3 linked regions of the Saccharomyces cerevisiae S288C genome follow. The gene in region 2 interacts genetically with the main gene of each other region. Each region holds a gene or a part of one and is shown on either strand. Other genes may lie near its edges.

Region 1 (6,578 bases), on a different chromosome or scaffold from region 2:
AATCTAAAAGCCTGTTTGGTCAATGACAGCTGAATATATACCATTTCTGGCACCTGAAACATTTGCAATCCATCTACCGAGTCTGTGTTCTTTGGCAATACTAGCCAAAATACGGAACTTCTCCTTCCCATGTTTACCACTTTCTACAACCTGAATCTTGGTAACTACACCTTTAGCGCCAGATAATTCACCTAGCAACTCAAATGATCTGAGATTATCACTAATTTTCCAAACTTTTAGCGATCCACTCCATGATCCAGATATGAATACATTCGAATATGGAATAGCGTAAAGAGATGTGATCCAAAATGGTTGTAGCAATTTCTTGCCTTGCAACTGTCTTTTTCTTAATTCTTCATCGGTTTCCCCCGAAATGTCATTGAAAGAGGGCTCAGGTAAAATACCATGGGCAATTCTTTCCGTGAAGATAGGTTTCTTCTTCGCCAGAGACCATAGACATATATTACCATTATCGGAGCCTGTTATAAAGTGAAAATCATCCACCATACTCACAACGTCAATACTACCCTCGCAGAAAAATAAAGGTGCCTCTGATTCATCAGGATATTTGACTTCTCCATCTTCTCCCTCCTTAGCGTTTTCTTTCATCCATCTCCTTAGTAGCTTTTGAGGTTCATCGCCACCTCTAAATGTTAGTCTGGTCTCGTCAGGAATCTTCCAAAGCATAGCTGTTCTATCACGGGCACCAACGGTAACACACCTTTCCATCGCCAACGCAGATATATCTTCCACTATATCATGATGCCCATAAAGAATCTCCAACTGGGAAAATTGATTTATTGAATATGTTCTTATCTTAAAATCTGCGCAGGATGCATATAACTGATCAGAATTTTTTCTAAAAGCCAACGATAAAACTTCCCCTCGGCGATCCTTTGTTGGAATAACTTTAACGGGTGATAGAGATTCTGTGCTCCATACAATTAACTTCCTATCTCTTCCACCTGTGACAACATATTTACCATCTGGTGAGGCTGCTACAGTTAAGATTTCGTCATAATGGCCTTCTGTGGTATTCTCATATTCGTGCTTGCTCGTAGGTATATATTTTGCTCCTCCTTTAGCGTATTTTAGCTTCTTTGGTCTTTTGCTAAAGTCAGTAATGTCATATTTGGTGAGTTGTAAGTCTTTGCTAACTGTATAGGCAAATAACCTACCTTTGTTCTTATCGCCATTAGATGATTCCTCGAAGGTGTATTTGTTTAAAACGGGTTGGAAACAACTAATGCAAGTAAGGTTATTTTCCCCTACCCTGGTAAAGCTCTGTTTTGCTTCAGATATTAGAAGTTTATCGCCAAAATATCTGAAGACTCGGCCTTGCTGTTCAGCAACGTCTTCTTTTAACCTGGACGCAATGATATCCTTATCCAAATCTCCAGCATCAAAATTGTTGTACTCGTCGATTGTTCTTTCCTTGAGATTGTTTAAATCTTTTTCTTCAGCGTTCCTATTATCAGTTAAAATGTCATTAGCTTCGCTTTTCAGATTCTCCAGATATTGCTTTGCAAGCCTCCTTCTTTTATCGGCTGGATTTTCACCCTCGAATTCTTCTTCAGATTCCAATGCGTCTTCTTCATCCGAAACTTCTAGTTGTTCATCTTCGTTTGAGGATGGATCTGTGATTTCTTCGTCTACTGTGGGTTTTGATGGATTAACTTCTCCTTTGGATCTTTTCCTCTTTTTCTGTTGGGTAACATCTGACATCTTTTCTAGATTTTCTATAATTTTGAAATGCTAAAGAAGAAATAAAGAACTTTGAATTGATGCTTATTTGAATATTTACGGTACAGGACCAGGTGTTACACTGTTTAATCAAAGCTCATCTATAAAATGTCATCTCTTTTTTTTTTTTTCATATTTTTTCACTTTTTCCTTTCGCGAAAATTCGCAAGGACGCTTCCAGCTCAGATCATGTTCAACGTAACTCTTTATTATCGTCGCATTCAAAGAAATATATGTTAATGTGGGAGCATTTTGAACGATGATTTGAACAAATGAACAGGTATCAAATAATTGTCTCTTGCGTATATATATTTTACATTTTTTTATTTCAATTGCTGTTCATATCTAGCTTCCCTTATATTATTAATTTTTTTAACGAGAGAGGGCAGCTCAGCTCTTTCTGATATCTTAACGGCTGCAGTAAGTGCTCTATCTTGTTTTAATTCATGAGCAAGCGAAAGAGCCTTTTCAACATTTTGGTCTGAGCATGCAGACGCAAATAAACGTAACAAAGCCTTATCATATGCACCGTTCAATGCTGCCAATACCTCATTTTCGTTGCCGTACATTTCACCGTCATTTTCGAGTGTATCTGTCAACAGCTCTGACAAAACCTTGCTGCGCAGATACTCTTCTTCCGCCGCCATAGAAACAGGAATCTGTATTTCTTTGTCTTCTTCCCCTTCTTCCGCTTCGGTGTCAGCTCCAATTTCGTTCTTTTTATTTAATATAGCTTTGTTTTCCTCTAGTAATTTACTCTTAACAAATACTGGCATTCTAATCTCCATTTCGGATGGCAACGGAAGGGGAAACTCGGGCCATATATGCTTGCCCTTAACTAAGATACAATTCAATGTGTCATACGCCAAAGCCAAGGGCCAGACATGTATATCTGTCGTTTCCTTCCCTCCTGACATCTTCCATATTTCCATGTTGCTATCTAGAATAGGGAGCCATTTACTTTCTTCTGGTGATCTCCACTTTGATAACAATAGAAGCGTGTTGTCGGACCCAAAAATGCATGGATCTCCGTAGCTTGAAAAGAACAAACTTTTGATGCCCATCGGATTAAAATTGTAGTAGTCAAGATTTGCGTCTTTTTTCATATCAGAATTAATGTTTGGTAAACTCATTGGAAGTGGACACTCTCTTTTATAGTACCTTTTACTAGAAGTACCCAATTCAGATAAAGAGTATGAAAGGCCATGAAACTGCGAATAATGTACTGAAAAAACCCTATAATTCTGAGCAGTAAGCGCTACAATTGGGGATGTCTTTTCAACAGCAAATGGAACCCCGAATTGATTGAAACTTCTGAAATAGCCTAATGATGTACCAACAATAACGCGAACCGGGGTGGCTGCCACACTTGTTATTCTCTCACCAGCTTGCAAAGGAATAATCTTGGTCCAGTTTGAATGTATGCTATCGTGTGGCCTATATTGTATCTGCCCAGTTTTGGATTGGCCAAATAAAGTGCCTTTTTCATTTAGGAAGCATAAATCGTAGCCAAATAAGTCCTCGAAATGGTATTCTCTAAAACGTCCAACATCAAAAAAAGAGACAGTTATGCTGTATTGCTCACTATTCTTGACAGTAGATACGTAGCCCACTTCATTCATTGTCAAATAACGCCTGTCAGTAAAGCCAAAAGGTGTTCCCGCTGGAGAAAAAGGCATATAACGAAATTTTCCTGTGTTTGCCAAACTGATTGGAAACGAATGAGTCTTGTGTACTCTCGAATAAGAATGTTCATTATGTGGTTTTTTGCCACTAATATAACCAGCACCATCGTCATCATCAATAAAGTCTTCTTCATCTTCGAAGTTGTATTTTCTCTTTTCACTTAATCCACTGGGGCCGTCGTGTGTTTGAGTGAACACATCTTCCGCATTCGCTTCTTGAGTAATATCTGAAAATAGCTTATCGCTTTTGTTTATATCATCATTTCCCTCTAAGTTTTCCAAGTCAGATTCGGAGTCTACAAAAAGCCCATGTTTAGTTGAAGATTCAGCAACAGATTGGTCAGGTATATTAGATACTACGGACTCTGCCAAATTTTGGACAATGGCTATACTACCGGACCAGGTACCTAAAACAAGGTCTAGAGTTTTTGAGTCCGCTTGGATTTTCCAGGCAATATTAGTAATTTTTCTTTTGAATTCCCTGGTGTAGTGGATCTCGGAAGTTTCCCAATTCCATACCGTTAACTTATTATTTAAATCTACTGCCGCAATGTAAGTTCCACGTAACGGGTCAAATTGCAAATCAATGAAATGAGCCTTTGTTGATGAGAGATTTGTGGACAACGTCTTTTGTAGGGAATATCCCTTTATAGAGAATATTTTTACTGTATCATCTGCACATGGTAGCGCAAAATGCAGACCCTTCGGATGCCAAGCCACTCTCGTGCAAATTCTATTAGCAGCACAGAATTCTGGATCAGCTACATTGTTCTCATCTGGATCAGCCGTTTCACTCAGGTCATTATCATTGTCTTTATCTATATCATCCATCATATTCGAGAGTATCTTATCTCTGTGTGTATCATCATATGAATTGGCCACTATGTAATCATTTAACTCATGAACTTTGTTTGGAATAGTAGATGTCAGAGAAAAAATTTGTACCTTACCATTTATCATTGAAACTGCTAAAATATTCATCTGTGAATTGTAAGAAATTTGAGAAACTTGTTCATCGATTTTAATGGCATGTTTTTTGTGTGTTTCATCGTCCAATTCCAAAAGGATTAGTTCTAAGTCGTCTCCTCCAAATACGGCCATTTTACCTGAATGAATAACACAGCAGTCACGTAGGGGTAAAGCAAATCTAGCCAATAATTCTTCTTGACTAGAATCGATGTTATACCTAAGAGCATCACCTTGCATTGTAGTCATCAGAAAGTGCGAGTTTGAATAGCATTTTATAGACGAGACCAATTTGGAAGAATCTAAAGTCTCTGGCTCTTCTTCTGGGTTATTTGTCTTCAGAATCTTGGTTAAGCCATTTTTATTGGCTACACACAAAGTATTATTATCTGGTGCGAGAGAGACCAGAGTTTTCCCACCAAAGTCAAAAACAAGCTTGTCTATAACTGAAACCATAATAGTACGTCTAGTATATTTACGTCACTTCTTGCCCTTCTCAATTATTTTTCCCAAGCTTTCTTATTAATTTAATCTATATGTTCCCATATGTTGGCGTATTCAGGAAACTTTATTACGCGTCGCGTTAAACAGTTAACAATTAATCATTAGTGGAAATTAACGAATCTTAGTGAAAACACCCATTCTCCAGGTGAGATTCTTTCAAGTATCAGGCAAACTACGATTTCACCTAATGAATATCACAAGACGTTTTGAATAATTTTCTGAAGCAATTATGAAACATTATGAAGATATATACGAATATGGATAAGCCTTGTACCTGTGATTTTACACTCAAATTGGACATAAGTAGTACATGAAGAGGATGATTAATTCATCCTTTAACGCGCTTGTTCGAAAATCCTTTGAAACCATGTAATAATATATCCAGATTTTCGGCTGACTTCTCATCAATGTTCATCATCGTCGTTTCGTCGTCTTCTAGACCATTTAACCAAAATTTCATACTCATTGGTAGAGAAGAATATGTGTGGTACAGCGACGGTTCAAAGTGAATTATATTTGGTCCGTATTGGCCGTCTTTCATCCCGACTGATGGTGTAGAATGTTCATCGACCAAAACATCATAATTCCTTCGGCACTGTTCTTCCTCTAACCTGAAAAACTCTTCACTAGATATGTCCACGCCTTCACCTTCTGTAGTGCTAACGTAACGTACCGGCCTCTCAGCAAACAAAAGGTTGCTGTCCCGTTGGAGTTGAAGGAAAGGAGAATCATGCACTTCTACTTTCCCATTCCATCTATCTAGCAGACTTGAATATTTCTGTTCCAGGTTATCATTTTTCTCTTCGTTCGTTTGGACACTAGTCATCGTGGTTAGAGTGGGTTCCTCACCCTTCGTATTCATTATGAGAGCTTTTAAATTAAATAAAACCGTAGCCAGCTTACGAATATCAGATGAAGCCAGTACCAAGTCTAATTTCGGTCTTGTTCTCTGAAATGTGCCATTATTTACTGCGAAAGTCGGCCTTGCATACTTAATATTGGAGAATGTACTCAATTCTGCAGTTATTCGGTTATTCCAATATAGTTCCTTCGGTGGGTATACTGTTTGATAGAATAATTTTAACTCCACAAGTATGCAGTTTTTTCGAAGAAAGTTAACTTCAGGTAAACCCATATGTGCACTGATTTTCTCTTTTCCTTGGTTATGCGTAATAAAGGATTATTTTGTATCGCAACCTTCAATTAAGGTTATCACATTTTAATAATAAAAGCTGGTAAAAAAAGCCGAAAAATCTGCCTGGACAAACATACAGAATACGCATATATACAAGCGAAGAAAGGAGATTTAGGCTCATTAGAGCAGTATCAATTTTTTAAAAAATATTTACACGTCTTTCTCTAAACTATATAAGGTGGGGGGCGCAAATTGACCATTATTTAATCAAAAGCAAATACAAAAAGAGAAACATATTTTAGTGTCATTCATAGATGCAATCTTTTTTCTTCAGTGGGGAATTATTTCCATTGCTTTTTCACCAAATGCCAGATCATTGGGGAAACCCAAAGAAACGCAGCCACATAAGCGGCCTGTTTCAAGGTTTTCTCAGTTTGTTCTTGATGAGCTCTTTTCTCCTCTTCGGAGACTTCCTGTTGAGGTAGACCAAACATTTTATACTATCTAGTTATTTGATGCCAATGGACGCCTTTTGTGGGAAACTG
Region 2 (8,135 bases):
ATTACTTCTTTCCAAGCTTATTTTCCAGGTCGCTTAGTTCCTTTTCTAAGTTCTTGATTTCCTCTTCGTTCTCAAGGGTCTTCATTCTTGCCAATTCGGCTCTTTTTCTCCTTGCCTCCGTTTCTTCCTCCCTTCTCTCCAGCTCTTGGATCCATAACTTTTCTCTCATCTTGGCTTTCTCCTTCAATTGTTCCTCCTTCGCCTTCAGTTCCTTACCAGAAGTCCCATAGATAAATGAACCTGCGACTAGTGCGACTAGTGTGGCCGCTTGTAGACCCACACGCCAACGGAAGTAGTACTGAGCTTTCCATTTATTACCAAGACGAACATTTTGAGCAGCCAGAATGACAGCTCCTGTAGTCAGCAAGCACCCAATGGGTACCAATGGCTGTTTCTTACAATGGTATATAATCCTTTCGCCAAAGGTCATATCATCCAAATCCCTCTCCGTAACATCGAAACTAGATGGCATGCGTGACATCTTGAACGTATAACTGTGATGTTATCGCTTCTAGTACCAGGAATTGAATTAATTCCGATAGGAAGCATTGCTTCCTCTTCTCTATACTTTTCTTTACTATTATTCTTGAAGCATAAAAGGGCCCTCCTTGATTCGCTACCCGGAAACGATAAAGGTAGCTTTTTGCTCTTTTTGCTCATATTAGGCCTCTACTAAAGCATTTGTGCGGTATTCCAATTTTTATTATTGTATTTATCTTACATGAAATGGGAGGAGGGGTGCTCCTCGGTTGAATTGTATTACGTAGCATTAGGGTTGCCTGAGGCGTACACTTCTAGAAACCAGTTCGCCAACTTGGCCACGTCTGCATCCAAATATACGTCGTTCAGAGCAACATTGTATTCAAGTACAATCTCCATAAAAGCACTGGTGGACAGCTGATAAAGAACACTGATCATGTCAGTAGTGTCTTTCATGCTATCTTCGTCTTCACTGTCTTGTTGTACTCTATCTTGGGCTGTCCTTTGTGTTTGGAAGGCAGTGTATGCCATCGATTCCGGATCCCAATCGGCAAATTCACCCAGTGCACAGATGGACCTCTCCAAAGTCTTAAGAATATCCCCAACGGATGCAATGATACCGCCTTTTGGATCTTCTGTCTTTGATCGGATCAGCAGTCCTGTCAGTGCTACCACACTATTTGCGTGGCATATGGGCAATGGAACCAGCTTCTCAGCTTGCCTTTTCTTGGAAATGGACCATATGTCAATTATCGAGATTTGGGCTTTGTTGGAGCCATTTGGTAATAGTCTGTAATTGTCGCTTTCATCAGATGATTGTCTTTCTGCGTAGGAAGGGAAAATAAACGACATTATAGAATTTTTCAGTTTTTTTAACATCAGACGCATAGCGGTCATAAATGTTGTTTCGTGGGTGAAAATAGAGCCGTTAAAAGTTTGTGTCGTTTCATCTAAATCGTTGTCGTAATACGAGGACCTATGCCTTTTCTTGTTTCCGCGGTTAAGCAATACACTATCGTCAGTTCTTACCCTCAGCCTGTTTGGTGATTCATCTAATAAGCCGTTATCCCGTAATGGCGCCATCATAGAGGGTCGGTTCCCAAAGAGTCTTTCGTTGGCGCTTGTTAGTTTCCCGTTCTCATACATATAATCTAGATTTTCTACTTTTTTTTTATGTCTAGCAGTTGCAGAGCCCCCAAGATCTTGTACTGATCTTAGGTACTGCACAACCTTTTCATTGTTTATCTGAATGGTCTTCAAGCATTCATTGAGGATTAATGACCAAGTATTACCACTACTGCTTCTGAACTTGGAGTGATATATTGGTGCTCGCAATGATGGATCCAGTGAAGTGGCCCTATACGCTAGTTCCTGGTAGGCAGTCAACCTAGTAAATGGCTTGTCTGCAGAAAGCCCACTAAGCAGGGTTTCCATCGGCGTCGACGACAAATTCGAAATTAGCTTGCCCTTGTGCAGACAACCTATGGACATATGTGCGTCAAATGCTATATTTATGAATTCGAAAGTGATGAAGATAATGCAGGAGATTATTAGTAAATTTGTGACAGCTAGCACGCCATTCGTAAATGAATCAAATAATCCCGATTTTTGCCTGGAAAAAAATACTGTGGTAAAGATTGGTAATACGAACATGCTGATTACACTTAGAATGACTGACTTCTCCATAATCCTCTTGACACGCTCTAATACGTAGTCTTGTGGGGCCTGGAAAAAGTTTTCGCAGTTGAACGACAATTTGTCAGCGTCAGTGACATGATGTTGTAGGTTGTAAATCGTGGGAACGACTAGCCAAATAAACAGCTTATAGTATGGCTTCCATCCAGATCCGCCACGTCCGAAAACCACACCCAGTACGAATGATAAAAGGATGCTGCCCATGCTATAGACTCCCTGGTATACAAGAAACTTTACTGATAACAATTGGCCTAGAATGAAAGTAAGTGAATTAGCGAACCCAAAATTCTTTACATGCATGTAATTTTTTCTTGTCACAATGATCAAAAGGGAAACTAGGTTAAGAGCTAAAATATTGGGAATAAATGCCAATGCCAGTTCCCATAACGGTGAGTGTGGCAACGCCAGCAGTGAAATCACCACAGTTTGGATAATAGAACATATGAAAAACAACCTCGTAACTAAATGGTTGAATCGGGTCTTGCACACGTCGCTAAAGATGGTATGGTACGTGTACCGTGGATTCAACAACTCCCTTGGCGTCTGTATCATCTGCTTGCCCTGTAATGTCCTTTCGTCTTCTCAATCACACTTACTCATCGCCAAAGAGTCTGCTCTTCCCGTTAGTGATTCTCGATGTTATTATATTCTTTAGTCTGTTAAGAAAAGACGAAAAATATAGCGGCGGGCGGGTTACGCGACCGGTATCGAATGGCGTTTTTAAGCTATTTTGCCACTGAGAATCAACAAATGCAAACAAGGAGGTTGCCAAGAACTGCTGAAGGTTCTGGTGGCTTTGGTGTGTTGTTGATGAATGAAATTATGGATATGGATGAGAAGAAGCCCGTTTTCGGTAACCATTCCGAGGACATACAGACCAAATTGGACAAGAAATTAGGACCTGAGTATATCTCCAAGAGAGTTGGGTTTGGAACAAGCAGGATTGCATACATCGAAGGTTGGAGAGTAATTAATCTTGCTAATCAAATCTTTGGATATAATGGCTGGTCTACGGAGGTAAAAAGTGTAGTTATCGATTTTTTGGATGAGCGACAGGGAAAGTTTAGCATAGGGTGTACTGCAATTGTTCGTGTTACGTTGACTAGCGGGACTTATAGGGAAGATATTGGGTATGGTACCGTGGAGAACGAAAGACGGAAACCTGCCGCTTTCGAAAGGGCCAAGAAATCTGCCGTTACGGATGCCTTGAAAAGATCTTTGAGAGGGTTTGGTAATGCTCTAGGAAATTGTCTTTACGATAAAGATTTTCTGGCAAAGATCGATAAGGTGAAGTTCGATCCGCCAGATTTTGACGAAAACAATTTGTTTAGGCCAACGGATGAAATCAGCGAAAGCTCAAGAACGAATACTTTGCATGAAAATCAAGAACAACAACAATACCCGAATAAAAGAAGGCAATTGACTAAAGTTACAAATACCAATCCCGACTCGACGAAGAACCTGGTGAAAATAGAAAATACAGTAAGTCGAGGTACCCCAATGATGGCCGCACCTGCTGAGGCTAACAGTAAAAACAGCAGTAATAAAGATACTGATCTCAAATCTCTCGATGCTTCCAAACAGGATCAAGATGACCTTCTCGATGATTCTCTTATGTTTAGCGATGATTTTCAAGACGACGACTTGATAAATATGGGCAACACAAACAGTAATGTTTTAACGACAGAGAAGGATCCCGTTGTAGCTAAGCAAAGCCCAACTGCTAGCTCAAACCCAGAGGCAGAACAAATCACCTTTGTTACAGCTAAGGCTGCAACTTCCGTACAAAATGAACGTTATATTGGTGAAGAGAGCATTTTTGATCCCAAATACCAGGCACAATCCATTAGGCACACCGTTGATCAGACTACGTCCAAGCATATTCCAGCGAGTGTGCTAAAAGACAAAACGATGACCACCGCGAGGGATTCTGTCTATGAAAAATTTGCACCAAAGGGAAAACAATTGAGCATGAAGAACAATGATAAAGAACTGGGGCCTCATATGCTAGAAGGGGCTGGGAATCAAGTACCGCGTGAAACCACACCAATTAAAACGAACGCTACAGCTTTTCCGCCTGCAGCTGCTCCACGGTTTGCGCCGCCTTCTAAGGTAGTACATCCTAATGGAAATGGTGCAGTGCCAGCCGTTCCGCAACAAAGATCGACACGAAGAGAAGTTGGAAGACCAAAGATCAATCCCCTGCATGCACGCAAGCCTACTTGAAACGCTTCCTGGCCGAAACAAATAAAAAATTTGCATCATTATTTATTACTCCAAAATCCTCTAGTTACTCTTTCAATTCTGATTTTATTTGTATTTCTTCCTATATCGTCTAGTTTTTCTTTCCTCCATGTGTCGTATTAATATTTACTTTAAATCGAATAAAAAATTCTTATTATTTTACAAGTCATTTTCAGGATTAGATTCATTATAACTTTACAAAAGTATTACATAAAGAATTATATAACAGATATTAGGATAACCGTATAAATAGAATAAACTATACAAATATGGCAACTCGGAAAAACAATAGATCATTAAGTTTGAGAAGAGAAAACTACGTTTGAGTTTCATTTTGTGGGTTATATTTTGTTTTCAGCGGAATCCTTAGGTTCATTGAGTTCCATCGGACCTATCCATTCCCAACATTTCATTATTTCACCTCGAATTTCAGTTAAGTTCGATTTAATATTACTGTTATTATGCTCTAAATATTTTACCACTTCTGACCATAATTGATTTTTGTATTTCAGATCGACAATATCAGAAAGAAAGATGTCACGCAATTGAACTATGCTCAAATACGCGTTTTCTTTCGGATCGGACATTGATTTAATCTTTTGGAATTTCAATTTTTCCATGGTTTGAGTAACGAGTTCTTCAATTCTTGCCTTCTTTCTATAATAATTCTTCAGCTTGATCTCGATTACTTTACTAATGACTATCAGTAAAAACATTAGCCATATTGGCCTTTGAAATTTTTTATACGTTTGGTAGATTTCTCTTTCAAATCGACACTTCATTCCAATGTATTTCTTGGACGTCGACCGAAAATTCCTCGTCTTGGAGATGAATTTTTCTGGAAGATGTCTCTTCTGTCTCGGAACGTCATTGGTTTTAATGATGTTGTTGGAATTTCCGCCAATGTTGTTGTCAGTGGGTGATAACTAGAGAAAATTAGGAAAAGATGTTAGTAAATAAATCAAAAACAAAAAAAAATTCAAAAAAAATTAAAACTGTTATCATATAATAACAGGTTTAATAATTTTTGTAAGATAATAAATTGTACTCACTTGCCTCCATAATATTTCTGGTTCTTCAGTTAAATCTTTGATAACTTGGATCCACAGGTCCTCAAATTCATCGTCGCGAATCCAAGGAGCTCTAGCCTCATTAAATATTTGATAGAGGGCATCTTCCGTCATACCACTCTCGATGTCGTCTTTTCCGTCACCGCATGAAATTTGTGCATTTTTGGCTCTCAGAAACTCTAAAGATTTTTCAACCACTTCGGAAACTAACTGCTGTTTTTTGTCGTCTTTAACACATTTGCCTTGTGCAGGAATAATTTCCAAAAAGTCAAGTCTAGATGGTGCTAACTTGTAATCTGGCTTACATTTAAGTTTCAAATAAGGATAACAAATACCATTGGGTGGACAAGGGATACATTTCGGTCTGTAGTCCTGCAACAAATTATCCAGTTTTTGAATAAACTCGAAGGAATTGCCACTAACTCGATGGGATGGTACTTCATGCCCACAGTAACCTATGAGCAGTCTTTGCTCTCTATACCAGAGGCCAAATAAGAGAGGAATAACAATGAATATGCAAAATAAAAATAGCGCCAGTAATGATTTGCTCAAAAATTTGAGTGCTCTTTTGAACTTATGCCTGTTCCCGACCTTCCCAGATCCTTGCTTAACATCAAATTCACTCCCATTTTCATGCTCTAATTGCTCATTTACTTCCTCTTGAAGTTCTTGCACTCTTGCTTCACACTTTTCGACGTCTTTCTCTGTGGGTAATTGGGGAGTCTCGATCCTTGTAGGCACTAAAACTTCATCTTCATCCGATACCAAGTTACTACTATCTGTATCTATCATTTCGACCACATTATTGCTGGTATTACCCATAGGCTGATGAGGACCTGGCGTGGTGATCTCTGGAAGCAAGGGTGCTTCCGACTCTGAGCCAGAGCCTTCGGACGAAAACAAAGACGGTGTTCTTTCACTCTGAGAAGGTTCTTGCTGTTCCACTTCTGGAACCAGTATTGTAGATGGTACCTCCTTTTGAGGCAATTTATCCGCAAATGAGGCAGAAACTTTTAACTTACTCAAGGGTGTGCTATGGCCTGTTCCATTGGCAGTTCCGAGCTCTTTTGGATTGTGTCGTATGTTCGGTACAAATGGATCATTTTCCGTACCGCTTGAAGTCAACGAATCGTTAAAATTATCCATGCTTACTGGCTTTCTATTTGTGTTCTTTATTGGTGTTTTGACGGAAAGTTTTCCTAAAATGGCAGAGCCATTTCCATGCTCTTGGTTCAAATCACTCGTCTTACGCTTTTTTGCCTTCTGGTAATCCTGTTCAATTTCTGAATCTGATGATAGGAGGTTCAAATGCTTATTATCGATTTTATTTTCCTTTGAATTAGATTCAGACCAGTCGTCAGAATCAGGGTCTTTCCTTTTCTTACGAGTATCGGAATTTTGCTGGAAATCATTGGTGTCTGATTTGTTGGAGCTTGATGTTATCACATCATCCTCTTCATCGTCCACTTCATCGGTATCCGTTCCACTAGGTACAATTAAAGGATCGTCTTTTTTATCATTGTCATCATCATCATCATCATCATCATCATCATCATTACTTACATCATCCAGTATTCTATTCTTCTTAAACTGTTTGGCCATGGGGGAAGCAGATTTCTCCCTGCGAGCTCGTCTACTTCTACGAGGGGAAGCTATAGATGGGGAAGATGAGGGACGGTCCATTTTCACAATACCTTCATCGCTGGGCCGAACGTTCAGATACATTTTCCGTAACTGCGGGATCTGCGGTTTAACCTTTTCATCGAACAGCCCCACCAGCGCATTTTTCCTAGCATTAGATGGGAAATCGACATTATTTTCTACCAATATCCTCCTCAAAGTCGCAACTTTCATTGAATTCGGATCAAAACCGTCCTCTAAATACTCCAAGTCACTATTCATCGCGGCACTAACTGAGTACTGCTACCGTTCTACTGTTTGTTGTTCTGGCCTCTACGTTCACTCCGTATGGTCTCAGTCTACTATTAATAATGACTGAGGACTATTTCTCTTCCATGTATTCCGCATAGTATATTGACAGCTATACAAGTAGATCGATGTCCAGATTAGCCACCACAAATTGAAACCAAAACAAAAACAAAGGGGGCTTCCTAAAACAGTAATTTTGAGGGCTCTTTAAAACCCTTGATTTCCGTTCAGGGTGATCAATATATATATCCTAGTTATTTTATAGATGCCCTAACTTTATTTTTAGGGCACGTGGGGGTCTTCTCTTTTCTTTTTTCATTCCTTTTTCATCTTTTTTTTGCGCCTGGCGATGATGAGAAAGGAGTTCTAGTAGCACAAGGTTTAAAGGATATTATCAAAAAATAGATAAATTTTAAAAAAAAAAAAAAGGCATCTCTTGACGACTTTTCTTCTCTCTCTCTACAGGCAGAATTAGCAGCGTTTCTCGTATACTAGTCAATTATCGGATATTAATAGTATTTTTATTATAGTCTCCCTGCTATAGCCAATTTTGATTCAGCAAAACTCGATTGAACTGCTAGTACGCCAGATTAATAAATTATATAACAAATAAAAAGGGGGCATTCTAAAAAAAATTATGGACAATCAGGCTACACAGAGGCTTAACGACCTTTCTCTAGAACCAGCTCCTTCACACGATGAACAAGATGGTTCAGG
Region 3 (5,074 bases), on a different chromosome or scaffold from region 2:
GAAAGAAGTAGAAAGTGATATAAGTTTGCTTGCCACTTTTCGTTTTTCACGAAAAAAACAGGCGAAAAAAAATGCTAGACTAGTACCCGGCTGAATCACACCTCGTTAACAGTGACTTTCGGTGACAGATACCCGATTGGGCACCCGGCTGGTAAGTTATGATAGAAAGCCAACGCTGTACTATTGGCTTAGCTATGGCAATATTTTGATTATCAACTAGTTTTATTAACGTTATAATTAGTGTAACCAGTTTTTCATCTATTTCATTTATTTCATTTATTTACTTTAATTGCAGATCCCCCTAACGCGTTTAAAGCTTTTATTCACTAGCTTATGTATTTTTTATAGGAAACGCGACGCGTAACATCGCGCAAATGAAGGTTTTGATGTATTATAATGAGGTATTCTTCCTTATATACATCGATGAAAAGCGTTGACAGCATACATTGGAAAGAAATAGGAAACGGACACCGGAAGAAAAAATATGGGTATTAAAGGTTTGAATGCAATTATATCGGAACATGTTCCCTCTGCTATCAGGAAAAGCGATATCAAGAGCTTTTTTGGCAGAAAGGTTGCCATCGATGCCTCTATGTCTCTATATCAGTTTTTAATTGCTGTAAGACAGCAAGACGGTGGGCAGTTGACCAATGAAGCCGGTGAAACAACGTCACACTTGATGGGTATGTTTTATAGGACACTGAGAATGATTGATAACGGTATCAAGCCTTGTTATGTCTTCGACGGCAAACCTCCAGATTTGAAATCTCATGAGTTGACAAAGCGGTCTTCAAGAAGGGTGGAAACAGAAAAAAAACTGGCAGAGGCAACAACAGAATTGGAAAAGATGAAGCAAGAAAGAAGATTGGTGAAGGTCTCAAAAGAGCATAATGAAGAAGCCCAAAAATTACTAGGACTAATGGGAATCCCATATATAATAGCGCCAACGGAAGCTGAGGCTCAATGTGCTGAGTTGGCAAAGAAGGGAAAGGTGTATGCCGCAGCAAGTGAAGATATGGACACACTCTGTTATAGAACACCCTTCTTGTTGAGACATTTGACTTTTTCAGAGGCCAAGAAGGAACCGATTCACGAAATAGATACTGAATTAGTTTTGAGAGGACTCGACTTGACAATAGAGCAGTTTGTTGATCTTTGCATAATGCTTGGTTGTGACTACTGTGAAAGCATCAGAGGTGTTGGTCCAGTGACAGCCTTAAAATTGATAAAAACGCATGGATCCATCGAAAAAATCGTGGAGTTTATTGAATCTGGGGAGTCAAACAACACTAAATGGAAAATCCCAGAAGACTGGCCTTACAAACAAGCAAGAATGCTGTTTCTTGACCCTGAAGTTATAGATGGTAACGAAATAAACTTGAAATGGTCGCCACCAAAGGAGAAGGAACTTATCGAGTATTTATGTGATGATAAGAAATTCAGTGAAGAAAGAGTTAAATCTGGTATATCAAGATTGAAAAAAGGCTTGAAATCTGGCATTCAGGGTAGGTTAGATGGGTTCTTCCAAGTGGTGCCTAAGACAAAGGAACAGCTGGCTGCTGCGGCGAAAAGAGCACAAGAAAATAAAAAATTGAACAAAAATAAGAATAAAGTCACAAAGGGAAGAAGATGAGGGGGTTCTTTTTCCACTTTCTTCTTTTGGTCCTTCACCTTGGCATATATGTAACATAGATATTTGTATACACGAACTTTTTTCATCTAATACTTCTCTTTTTTTGCCAGTTTTTCTGGGAACTTGAACGTGGAATTTTTCATTCTTACCTGGTTTCTTTTTCTTCATTTCTTTACATGTTGGAAATCATTGTAAATATAAGATGACAAACTCCGAATAAGAAACACAAAACGCAACATTAATAAGCTTTTGGCATATCGGAACCATCGTAATGCCTTCGACACCTAGCTTTGTTAGATCTGCTGTCTCGAAATACAAATTTGGTGCGCACATGTCAGGTGCCGGTGGAATTTCTAATAGTGTAACTAATGCATTTAACACTGGCTGTAATTCGTTTGCCATGTTTTTAAAATCTCCAAGAAAGTGGGTTTCTCCGCAGTATACACAGGAGGAAATAGATAAATTTAAGAAAAACTGTGCAACTTACAATTATAACCCATTGACGGACGTCTTACCGCATGGCCAATACTTTATTAATTTGGCTAATCCGGATAGGGAAAAGGCAGAAAAGAGTTATGAGTCATTCATGGACGATCTGAACAGGTGTGAGCAATTAGGGATAGGCCTGTATAACTTACATCCAGGTTCTACTTTGAAAGGAGACCATCAGTTGCAGTTAAAACAACTAGCCTCATATTTGAACAAAGCAATTAAGGAAACGAAATTTGTTAAAATTGTATTAGAAAATATGGCTGGTACTGGAAATTTAGTAGGAAGTTCTCTGGTAGATTTGAAGGAGGTTATTGGAATGATTGAAGATAAATCAAGAATCGGCGTTTGCATAGATACATGCCATACATTTGCAGCAGGCTACGATATCAGCACCACTGAAACGTTTAACAATTTTTGGAAAGAGTTCAATGATGTAATAGGGTTCAAATATCTAAGTGCTGTTCACTTAAATGATTCCAAGGCTCCTTTAGGAGCAAATAGAGATTTGCATGAACGCTTGGGTCAAGGTTATTTGGGTATAGATGTGTTTAGAATGATCGCGCACTCTGAATACCTGCAGGGTATCCCTATTGTCTTGGAAACTCCATACGAAAATGATGAAGGCTATGGTAATGAAATCAAACTTATGGAGTGGTTGGAATCAAAGAGTGAGAGCGAATTGTTAGAAGACAAGGAGTATAAAGAAAAAAATGATACGCTGCAGAAATTAGGTGCTAAATCGCGTAAGGAACAGTTAGACAAGTTTGAGGTTAAACAAAAGAAGCGAGCTGGGGGCACCAAGAGGAAGAAAGCCACTGCAGAGCCAAGCGATAATGATATCTTGTCACAAATGACAAAGAAGAGGAAGACTAAGAAAGAATAATGAGAAGCGAGAAGAATTTTAAATACGTAATCAATTTTTGTAGATTATCTCAACGTACGTAACTAAATGCTACCCTTCGTCATCCAAGATGCTGTTGCCCATTTCATAGAAACTACTTACTTGGTTTATAGATGTTTCGCGTTGCGTTACAGAATAAGGCAGCCTTTTTTTTTTTTAGATTTTCATTTTTCACATACTGATGGATTAGCAGACGAAAAGGGTAAAGTTAAATACATTCCAGTAAATGAACTAAGAAGGCTGAGCACACCATCCTCTTATGGAACGTTATTCCTAAGCATAGAAAGTTTTTTACTTGTAATCTTCAACGCGGGGTGTGTTCTTTATCTTTTTTTTCTTTTTTACACAATTAGACAAGTATATTTTGAGATAGTAATCACATCTACGCTTCGAATTCATCCATACCCACAGCAGCTGTTAGGTTATACCGACAATGGATGAATATAGTAGTATATATTCACAACCAAAGACTCCTCGGTTGAAACAAGAAGGATTTCCCGACTCCATTGGCGATCAACACGAAAAGGCATTGATTGATGAAAATGGTGAGGAAGATAAAAAAATGGCATCCACTGAAGGGACCACTGGTGATTCTCGCAGTACACCTTTGACTGTATCTATTCCGACGTTTGAAAATGTCCAAGCATTACCTACACCGATGACCTACACTCCGTTATCCCCAGGCAATCTGTCAATGTCACCTATAGATCAATCCTCGTTGAATATACCCAAAAGACGAAGTCATGCACGATTACTGGATGATATGCTTTCTGTTACACAACCAAACCAAAGAGTTGTTTCTGAACTTATTGCACCAGCTAATTTATCCCCCCAAAGGGTTGTTTCCTTACCAACAGTGACTGAAGAGGCTTTAGTAAATGATTCTGTTGATAGTGATAACTACACGAAAGAACCTTATTTTCCCGAAAGTAGTAGTTCTACCGAAAAGTGTGACGATGATATATTTCAGGGATTTCTTTTAGATCACTGGGATCGCCCGTTATTATGGAAAAAGGTCAGGCCCATTGGTTCAGGAAATTTTAGTACCGTACTTTTATATGAACTCATGGACCAAAGCAATCCTAAACTGAAACAAGTGGCCGTTAAACGACTCAAATATCCCGAGGAATTATCAAATGTTGAACAAATCAATACATCGTTACGATATAAGGAAACTTTATCCCGTTTGGAAAATTCTCTGACTAGGGAATTGCAGGTGCTAAAATCACTAAATCACCCATGTATAGTTAAACTACTTGGGATAAACAATCCAATTTTTGTTACTAGCAAAAAACCTTTATGCGATTTGATTATAAAAACTCCAAGAGCTCTGCCGCCTTGTGATATGATTATGTCTTATTGTCCTGCAGGAGACTTATTAGCTGCCGTCATGGCCCGTAACGGAAGACTAGAAGCGTGGCTGATTCAAAGGATTTTTACGGAAGTAGTACTGGCAGTAAAATATTTGCACGAAAACAGTATTATTCATCGGGACCTAAAATTAGAGAATATACTACTGAAATATAGTTTTGATGATATCAACAGTTTTAGGGACTCACCCATTTACTGCAAGCAAAATTTCATTGAGCTAGCAGATTTTGGTCTCTGCAAAAAAATTGAGAACAATGAGATGTGTACAGCAAGATGTGGATCAGAGGATTATGTCTCACCAGAAATCCTGATGGGAGTTCCCTACGATGGCCATTTAAGCGACACGTGGGCCTTAGGTGTCATACTATACAGCTTGTTTGAGGACAGATTACCATTTGACCCTCCTCCAAACGCTTCAGCAAGACAGCGTAGCAGAGCTACGTCACATCGTATTGCCAGGTTTGATTGGAGATGGTACCGGTTAAGCGATTATAAAACTAATGTGGGAAAACAGATTGTGGAAAATACGCTAACGAGGAAGAACCAACGTTGGTCGATTAATGAAATTTACGAATCCCCCTTCGTTAAAACGATCGCTGATACTCTAAGTTTTTCTTGAAATTTCCCACGGATGGGAGTTACTTTCGTTTTCTTTCTTATTGCTTACACCTGATAAT

The links. A genetic interaction does not mean that the proteins touch.
Region 1: mutations in RAD52 (region 2) and CTF4 impair growth when combined (synthetic growth defect), as found in Saccharomyces cerevisiae (6 studies listed by BioGRID, with this or other methods).
Region 3: of RAD52 (region 2) and APN1, changing one enhances a phenotype caused by changing the other (phenotypic enhancement), as found in Saccharomyces cerevisiae (5 studies listed by BioGRID, with this or other methods).

The regions. Positions count from the first base shown.
Region 1 is NC_001148.4:797,506-804,083, reverse strand, and holds CTF4 (chromatin-binding protein CTF4), read right to left. Parts: upstream 4,851-6,578; coding exon 2,067-4,850; downstream 1-2,066. Other genes in the region: ribosomal RNA-processing protein RRP9, read right to left, coding at 4-1,725; MSS18 (Mss18p), read right to left, coding at 5,227-6,033; TOM5 (Tom5p), read right to left, coding at 6,375-6,527. UniProt on the Saccharomyces cerevisiae protein: Accessory factor for DNA replication. It plays a role in accurately duplicating the genome in vivo.
Region 2 is NC_001145.3:208,781-216,915, reverse strand, and holds RAD52 (recombinase RAD52), read left to right. Parts: upstream 1-2,985; coding exon 2,986-4,401; downstream 4,402-8,135. Other genes in the region: respiratory supercomplex assembly factor RCF1, read right to left, coding at 2-481; NDC1 (Ndc1p), read right to left, coding at 760-2,727; SRC1 (Src1p), read right to left, coding at 4,761-5,345, 5,472-7,391; AMD1 (AMP deaminase), read left to right, coding at 8,056-8,135. UniProt on the Saccharomyces cerevisiae protein: Involved in DNA double-strand break (DSB) repair and recombination. Promotes the annealing of complementary single-stranded DNA and by stimulation of the RAD51 recombinase.
Region 3 is NC_001143.9:221,286-226,359, reverse strand, and holds APN1 (DNA-(apurinic or apyrimidinic site) lyase APN1), read left to right. Parts: upstream 1-1,904; coding exon 1,905-3,008; downstream 3,009-5,074. Other genes in the region: multifunctional nuclease RAD27, read left to right, coding at 485-1,633; serine/threonine protein kinase PRR1, read left to right, coding at 3,460-5,016. UniProt on the Saccharomyces cerevisiae protein: DNA repair enzyme that cleaves apurinic/apyrimidinic (AP) sites and removes 3'-blocking groups present at single strand breaks of damaged DNA. APN1 accounts for > 97% of both apurinic/apyrimidinic (AP) endonuclease and DNA 3'-repair diesterase activities.